2 linked regions of the Sus scrofa genome follow. The protein of the gene in region 1 purifies or fractionates together with the protein of each later gene. This does not show direct contact. Links are inferred from orthologs where the notes say so. Each region holds a gene or a part of one and is shown in the gene's direction. Other genes may lie near its edges.

Region 1 (4,023 bases):
TAAACATTATTTTTATATATTCATTATTTCATATGTGGGCTATGGACTGAAGAATTGTAGGATTTGAAAACTGTTATTGGAGTTCCCATCGTGGCTCAACAGTTATGAACCTGAGTAGTATCCATGAGGACATGTGTTTGATCCCTGGCCTCGCTAATTTGGGTTAAAGATCCTGCATTGCCGTGAGCTGTGGTATAGGTCACAGATGTGGCTTGTATCCCTCCTTGCTCTGGCTGTGGTGAGGCTGGCAGCTACAGCTCTGATTTGACCCCTAGCCTGGCAACTTCCATATGCCTCAGGTGTAGCCCTAAACAAAACAAAAAGAAAATTCTTAAAATTATTTAGCTTTATTATTAAAACCTGTTGGGGAGTTGCTGTCATGGCACAGCGGAAACTAATCTGACTAGGAACCATGAGGTTGTGGGTTTGATCCCTGGCCTCGCTCAGTGGGTTTAGGATCTGGCGTTGTCGTGAGCTGTGGTGTAGGTCGCAGATGTGGCTTGGATCCTGCATTGCTGTGGCTGTGGTGTAGGCTGGTGGCTACAGTTCCAATTGAACCCCTAGCCTGGGAACCTGCATATGCCATGGGTGTGGCCCTTAAAAAAAAAAGTAAAAGTTGGCCATTGAGCTGTGCTGGGGAAGATAAAGCAGATTGATAAAATTCTTTAATAATAATATACTTTAATAATATATATCTCTCCTTTTAGGCATGTTCGTATACTCATGAACAGATTGTGGAAATGATGGAGTTTTTGATAGAATATGGCCCAGCACAGCTGTATTGGGAACCAGCTGAAGTCTTCCTCAAACTTTCTTGTGTCCAACTCTTACTGCAGCTTATTTCTATTGCCTGCAATTGGAAGACCTATTATGCAAGGTGGGACCAGAGAAAGGTTTCCAATGAAGTTAGATTCTGCTTTTTGCTAAAGTTAATGTTGGTTTTCACATAGTGTAGCAAATCTTTGTTGAATGAAATTTTGGGCTTGAATCTGAGAAACTAGATTAAGCATCTTCATATCATTTGTAATTTAGAGAGTAGTTGGTCTTGGCTTTAATAAATACTGCACAATAGGCAGAGATCAACATCTGTACTCTTAGAAAATGTTATATAAGATTATATATTTTAGCTGCAGAGGTGGGGTTGAAGTCCTATCTTGAGACTGGCGCCCAGTATTCTTTGGTGTTTAGACTTTAAATGTCTCTAGTGCTTGACAGCTATATGTAATATTTATCTTATCTACACGTAAAACTGTATTTTTTGCTCTTATGATTTTTACCATTCTGTTAAAAACAGAGCAAAGCAGGACAAGGCTCAGAAAAAACAGTTAATGCAATCAGGAGATTGAGGACGATGTAAAAAGGATTAAAACTGTATTTTGGAAAAGATGGAGTCTGAAGGGAAGATAGTAATGAAGTTTAAAACCCGTGGTTCTTGACCTCCGTTCCTTATCCATCCACTACCATAAAAACAAGAGGGTCTTGTTTAGGGTACATATAGCTTATTTGCTAAGTCCCAGGTTATCAAATCTACGAGAATACTTTGGAGTGGCCATTTTCAAACTTTCTGGTCTCAGGATCCCTTTACTGTATTAAAAATTATTAGAACCCCCAAAAGCTTTTGTTTTTATATTAGATCGATTAATATTTAACGTATCAGAAATTAAAACAAAATGTAAAAATATTTATGAATTATTTAAAAATCTGAACCCATTGCTTATTAGCATTTTTTTTTTTTTTGGTCTTTTAGGGCCATACTTGCGGCATTTGGAGGTTCCCAGGCTAGGGGTTGAATTGGAGCTGTAGCCACTGGCCTGCGCCACAGCCACAGCAACGTCACAGATCTGAGCCGTGTCTGTGACCTACACCATAGGTCACGGCAATGCTGATCCTTAATCCACTGAGTGAGGCCAGGGATTGAACCTGAATTTTCATGGATCCTAGTCGGGTTTGTTAACCACTGAGCCACAACGGGCACTCCCTTATTAACACTTTTTAATGAAAAGTTTCTCTAAATAAAACCAGATGATTTCAGCAAGTTTTTAAAATATCTGGCTTAAAATCTCATATCTCTTTCTGTATTCAATCTTTCGTGACATCACACATGATACAGGCTCTGGAAAGGTCTCCTATACACTCATGAGAGAATGAGAGTGAGAAAGAAAAATAACATCTTAGTGTTATTATGAAAATAGACTTTAGGAGTTCCCCCTGTGGTACAATGGGATTGTCAGCATCTCTGAATTGCCAGGACACAAGTTCGATCCCCAGCCTGTCACAGTGGGTTAAAGGATCCGGTGTTGCTACAGCTGTGGTCAGATCTGGGAACTCCATATGTTGCAGGATTGTCAAAAATGAAAAAAGTGTCCTCTTTTTTTTTTTTTTTGGGCCACACACACCCATGCATGCAGAAGTTCTTGGGGCAGGGATTGAATCTGAGCTACAGCTGTGACAGTGCCAAATACCAACTGTTAGGCCACCAGGGAACTCCTACAAGCTTATTTTTAAAAATAAAATTAGGAGTTCCCGTCGTGGCGCAGTGGTTAACGAATCCGACTAGGAACCATGAGGTTGCGGGTTCGGTCCCTGCCCTTGCTCAGTGGGTTGACGATCCGGCGTTGCCGTGAGCTGTGGTGTAGGTTGCAGATGTGGCTCGGATCCCGCGTTGCTGTGGCTCTGGCATAGGCCAGCGGCTACAGCTCCGATTTGACCCCTTACCTGGGAACCTCCATATGCCGCGGGAGCGGCCCAAGAAATAGCAAAAAGACAAAAAAAAAAAAAAATTTAGGGAGTTCTCCTGTGGCACAGCAGGTTAAGGATCCAGGGTTGTCACTGCAGCAGTTGGGGTCGCTGCTGTGTGTCAGGTTCGATCGCTGGCCTGGGAATTTCCACATGCCTTGAGTGTGACTCCCCCCCGCCCCCCCAAATCAAATACTTGTTTTGCTTAGAATATATAGAACCTTAGAAATGAAAAATATTTTTAGCCACTGTTAATTTCAGTTGTCTTTTTTCATAATGTATATAAATATACATAATTGAGATTATAGTATTTAACCAGATTCATCTTTTAAATGAAATAGCTCAAAATACATCAAGGTACAGAGAATTATACAACAACTGCCTCATACCCAGGGTTGGCATATTTCTGTATTTGCTTCTTTTTCAGTTCCTTTCCTTTTTCTGCCTCCCTAGAGTGACTGGTCTTCTGAATTTGGTGTATGTTCTCTCCATTGATGTTATGCTATACATACATGTAGGTGTGTAAATAATAATATAGTATTCTTTCATATGTTTTAAAGTTATATAAATATTATCCTATATGTGTCTTTTGCAACTTGCTTTTTTCACCCTTATTTTTATTTATTTTAAAATATAAATTTTAGGCATACAGTCACTTTTTTTTTGGCTGCTCCACGGCATATGGAGTTCTCCGGTCAGGGATCAGATCTAAGCTGCAGTTTTAACCTATGCCACAGCTGCAGCGATGCCAGATCCTTAAACTCCTCTTTCAGGCTGGGGATTGAACCTGCGTTCCAGTGCTCCCAAGCTGCTGCCCATTCCGTTACACCATAGCCATTGTTATGTGTTTATTTGTGTTGATATTTACCTGAAGTTTTGTGTTTCTGTACTATAGTTTATTCTCCCATTGATGGATATTTGGTGTCTGTTTTTTTTCCCATCAAATGAATGGTATCAGGAACCTCTTTTTGGAATCTCTTGAATATATAATGTGTATAGTCTGGGTTATAGTGTGTCCATGTTTCGTCTTCGGTGGATGCTGCCAGATTGCTTGGAAAATGCTCATACTATTTTCTTCCTCCAGCAGCAGTCTATGAGTGTTTTCATTTTTATACCTTTTTGTCAATACTTGGTGTTGTTGGATTTAAAATTTTATATCTTATTTTTTTATTTCATTAATGTATTTTTGAATCTTTTTTTTGTTTTTTTGAGTTCTTTGAAAATAATTGTCATTAGCTGCAAAGTAGTTCATCATATGAGTGTACCATAATTTAGCACATGTGATCC
Region 2 (4,239 bases), on another chromosome or scaffold:
CCTCTTTCTTTATTCTTTCCTTTGTTTTTTGTGTTTGCTTGTTGCTTTGGAGAGGAACGCTTTCTTAACTTCCCTTTGGCCAGGAGATCTCCCTCCCTGCAGGATTTCTCAGGCCTTTACTTTGAGAGTTGCTGGTCGTTTAATTTCCCTTTATGCAGGCTCTTAAATGGAGAGATAGCTTAATTCGCACCAGTCACTATTATCACCAGAAAACATCTCTGGGCAGCAGAGTAGGCTCCGCAGGTAAAGGTACAGGTCTCTACCTGCTTTTTAGGAGCTAACACTTGGGTGTGTTACAGACACACCTAAAGAACCAGCCAAATTGTAGGGGCGACAAGACAGGGTAAAGGCAGTGTACACAACTTGCTCGGGTGTAGGGGTGGGGAGAGGGCTGGAGTGGGCTAGGTTTGCCGGAGGTGGTTTTTTGTTTTTTCTTTTTAGGGCCGCACCCTTGGCATATGGAAGTTCCCAAGCAAGGGGTCGAATCCGAGCTGCAGCTGCTGGCCTATGCCACAGCCAATGTCAGATCTGAGCCCAATCCGTGACCTCTGTTGCAGCTTGTGGCAACGTTGTATCCTTAACCCACTGAGCAAGTCCAGGTATCGAACCCACATCCTCATTGATACTAGTTGGGTTCTTAACCTGCTGACCACAACGGGAACTCCCAGAAGTGAGTTTTGAAAGACTAACGGAGACGGAGGGTAGAGGGAAGTTGGGAGGGGTTAGAAAATGCCAGGGATGTTCTCAGTGCTGTAGGTAATGAGGTGGAAGGAGGAAAGAAAGGATGTGTAGACCAAGGCACTCAGGACCAGGCTCCACTGGCAAACCATTCATTCACTCAAAAATCATTTATGGAGTTCCCCTGTGGCTCAGCGGGATTTGAACTTTTGTGGCTCTGATTACAGCTGTGGCGTGAGTTCCGTCCCTGGTGCGAGTACTCCTGCATGCTGTGAATGCGGCCCGAAAAAGAAATCATTTAGGTGCCCATATGTCAGGTAGTTTTGATCACGTGTTACAGTGATAAAGGCGACAGAACGCCCTTCGGTGGGGATGAGTGAGACGTGTGCAAGGAACAGACACGAGAGCCAATGTGGCTGAAGCACGGCGATCAAAGGGCAGAAAAGCAGAGGCCAGGGCTGGCTGGCGGGCAGGGGTCTGATCTTACAGGGTCTTGCAGGTGGTTAGGAGTGTGGCTTTTACTCTGAGGGCAACAACATGAAGTTTCATTCATGCTGCAGCAGCCTTACAAAGTAGGCAGTCTAATCCCAGTATACTTTAGGACGATCAGGGTGCGGTTAAGTAAGTTGTTCAAGGTCAGAGGCAGGCGAGAGGGCTACTAAGACCTGCCGGCTCTCCCCGACCCAGGGCTGCCTGCGCGGGTCTGGGCAGGCGCGCGCCACGGCCGCACTGAGCATGCGCTGCTGCCTACGGAAGCCGGCAGGGAGGGGGCGGGGCCGACACTGGCGGGCGCGGGGGAAATGGCGGCGGCGGCTGCGGCGAACGGGACCGGAGGGAGCAGCGGGATGGAGGTGGATGCAGCAGGTAACCGACCGGGAGGGAGCGGCTTCTGGAGACGCCCTTGGGGCGCGTCAAGGCCTTCCTGGACTCCCGGGGAAGTCGGGAGGGCGGGTCAGCGGCGCGTTCCCTGGGATAACTTGCGGGAGGGATGTATGGCCCGGCTCTGCTGGCTTCCCCTCCCATCTCCCGGGGGGAACGTGGGACCCGGACTCTCACCCTCTCTTCCAACTGCTTAGTCGTCCCCAGCGTGATGGCCTCCGGAGTGACTGGCAGTGTTTCAGTCGCCCTTCACCCCCTCGTCATTCTCAACATCTCAGACCATTGGATTCGCATGCGCTCCCAGGAGGGGCGGCCTATGCAGGGTGAGTGTTCGGCGTAATTCTCTGGCCTTCTTTTCCTGGTCATCTCCCCCAAACGGTGGTCCTTCCCTTTCCTTTGCTGAAGCCAATTCTTCCGCCGCAAACCACCCGTTTCCCTAGTACTGGGTTCACTTGACCTCAGACCCTCAGGCTATACTGATTTAACTAAGTTTCAGGATTCTTTACCCTCACCTCTTGTGTCCTCTCCTCCAGTGATTGGGGCTCTGATCGGGAAGCAGGAGGGCCGAAATATCGAGGTGATGAACTCCTTTGAGCTGCTGTCCCACACCGTGGAAGAGAAGATTATCATTGACAAGGAATATTATTACACCAAGGAGGAGCAGTGTGAGAGGGGAATAGAGGTGGGGGAGAGGAGTGGGAGTTAAAAAAAGAAAGAAAATCAGAATAGGGAAGGTGGAGAGGGTTGGGGGGAAAAAAATAAACAGGAGATGAGCAGAATGGAGGCCAAGTGACGAGAAGGTAGCTGTAGAGATCTTTAAAAAAGAACATATTTGGGAGTTCCCGTCGTGGCTCAGTGGTTAACGAATCCGACTAGGAACCATGAGGTTGCGGGTTCGATCCCTGGCCTTGTTCAATGGGTTAAGGATCCAGTGTTGCCATGAACAGTGGTGTAGGTCGCAGGTGCAGCTCGGATCCTGCATTGCTGTGGCTGTGGTGTAGGCCGACGGACACAGCTCCAATTGGACCCCTAGCCTGGGAACCTCCATGTGCTGCGGGAGCGGCCCTAGAAATGGAAAAAAGACCAAAAAAAAAAAAAAAAAAGAACATATTTGGTTACTTCCCACAAAGTAAGGAGAAGATAGAAGAGATGACTTACTCTAAACTGAGCCGGGATGGGATGGGGAGAAGCTGGTTAAAATCCACCAGGAGCTTCAAATTAAAGAAGCGATATTTAAAAAAAAAAAAAAAATACTCTGTGCTCTGGCCCTTTCCTCCTCAGTTAAACAGGTGTTCAAGGAGCTGGAGTTTCTGGGTTGGTATACCACAGGGGGACCGCCTGACCCCTCTGATATCCACGTCCATAAGCAGGTATACACACTTCCGTTTGCACGTTGGGGCGGAGGACAGAGGATGAGCGGGAGAAAAATGGGCCCTGGCACTCAGGTGCATCTGCCCCCTCTTCCAGGTGTGCGAGATAATTGAGAGCCCTTTGTTTCTTAAGTTGAACCCTATGACTAAGCACACAGATGTGAGTAATACTGAGCCCGTGGCTACTTTGTCCTGCTTGTCCATTGCTATGCCTACCCAGATTTTAATTCTCATCCTGTTTTTTACTGTATCGCCTCTGTTGAATTGACTCTCCCTTCTCTTTACCAGCTGAGACTTTGGGTGTCATTTAACCTCTAAACTGCATTTCCCCCATGTACTAAAATGGGATAATTCCTACTTGTAACTTGGGGACATAGAAAAACGGAATGCGAAAGGGCCAAGCCTGGTTTGGGGCCCTTCAGGTACGTGTGCTGTTACTAAGAGCTCTTCGCCCATCTCCTCTTTACAGCTTCCGGTCAGCGTCTTTGAGTCTGTTATAGATATCATCAATGGAGAGGTAATGCCATACCCTTCAACTCTCAGACCCTGCTCCCGGTGTTTCCTGCTTTTGACTCTCTCTCTGTGCCCTGTAGGCCACGATGCTTTTTGCTGAGCTGACCTATACCCTGGCCACAGAGGAGGCTGAACGCATTGGTGTAGATCATGTGGCCCGAATGACAGCAACAGGCAGCGGAGAGAACTCCACTGGTAATGCAGGCTGGAGGGGTTTCCTTCGCAGCGGGGGGTGGGACGTGTTGGCCCCATGCCTTCTCAGCCTTGGCCTGACCCTGTGTAGTGGCGGAACACCTGATTGCGCAGCACAGCGCCATCAAGATGCTGCACAGCCGCGTCAAGCTCATCTTGGAGTATGTCAAGGCCTCTGAAGCAGGTAGGACAGGTGTCCCCCTGACACTTGAACCACTTTTTCTCTCCTTCCTGGGGAAGCAACAGTATCACATTAATGCAGCCCTTTGCTGTGCCTTTAGGAGAGGTCCCCTTTAACCATGAGATCCTGCGGGAGGCTTATGCTCTGTGTCACTGCCTCCCAGTGCTCAGCACTGATAAGTTCAAGACAGACTTTTATGATGTGAGTATAAAGCCCAGGATCAGGAGGGTGGGGCTCATGCCACCATTTCTGCATGCAGGACATTGGAGCCAGAGCCCCTGGGAAACTGGTTCTTTGTTTCCTTGCAGCAATGCAATGACGTGGGACTCATGGCCTACCTAGGCACCATCACCAAAACGTGCAATACCATGAACCAGTTCGTGAACAAGTTCAACGTCCTCTATGACCGACAAGGCATCGGCAGGC

Evidence for each region.
Region 2: the proteins of DCAF1 (region 1) and COPS6 purify together in Homo sapiens (affinity purification with mass spectrometry; 7 studies listed by BioGRID and IntAct, with this or other methods). This does not show direct contact. The link is inferred for Sus scrofa from reciprocal best matches to the Homo sapiens genes DCAF1 and COPS6.

The regions. Positions count from the first base shown.
Region 1 is NC_010455.5:33,702,008-33,706,030, reverse strand, and holds part of DCAF1 (protein VPRBP), read left to right. Parts: intron 1-707; coding exon 708-877; intron 878-4,023. UniProt on the Homo sapiens protein: Acts both as a substrate recognition component of E3 ubiquitin-protein ligase complexes and as an atypical serine/threonine-protein kinase, playing key roles in various processes such as cell cycle, telomerase regulation and histone modification.
Region 2 is NC_010445.4:8,001,263-8,005,501, forward strand, and holds the start of COPS6 (COP9 signalosome complex subunit 6), read left to right. Parts: upstream 1-1,439; 5' UTR 1,440-1,478; coding exon 1,479-1,542; intron 1,543-1,754; coding exon 1,755-1,880; intron 1,881-2,090; coding exon 2,091-2,222; intron 2,223-2,838; coding exon 2,839-2,927; intron 2,928-3,024; coding exon 3,025-3,087; intron 3,088-3,396; coding exon 3,397-3,444; intron 3,445-3,520; coding exon 3,521-3,635; intron 3,636-3,723; coding exon 3,724-3,816; intron 3,817-3,913; coding exon 3,914-4,014; intron 4,015-4,121; coding exon 4,122-4,239. UniProt on the Homo sapiens protein: Component of the COP9 signalosome complex (CSN), a complex involved in various cellular and developmental processes.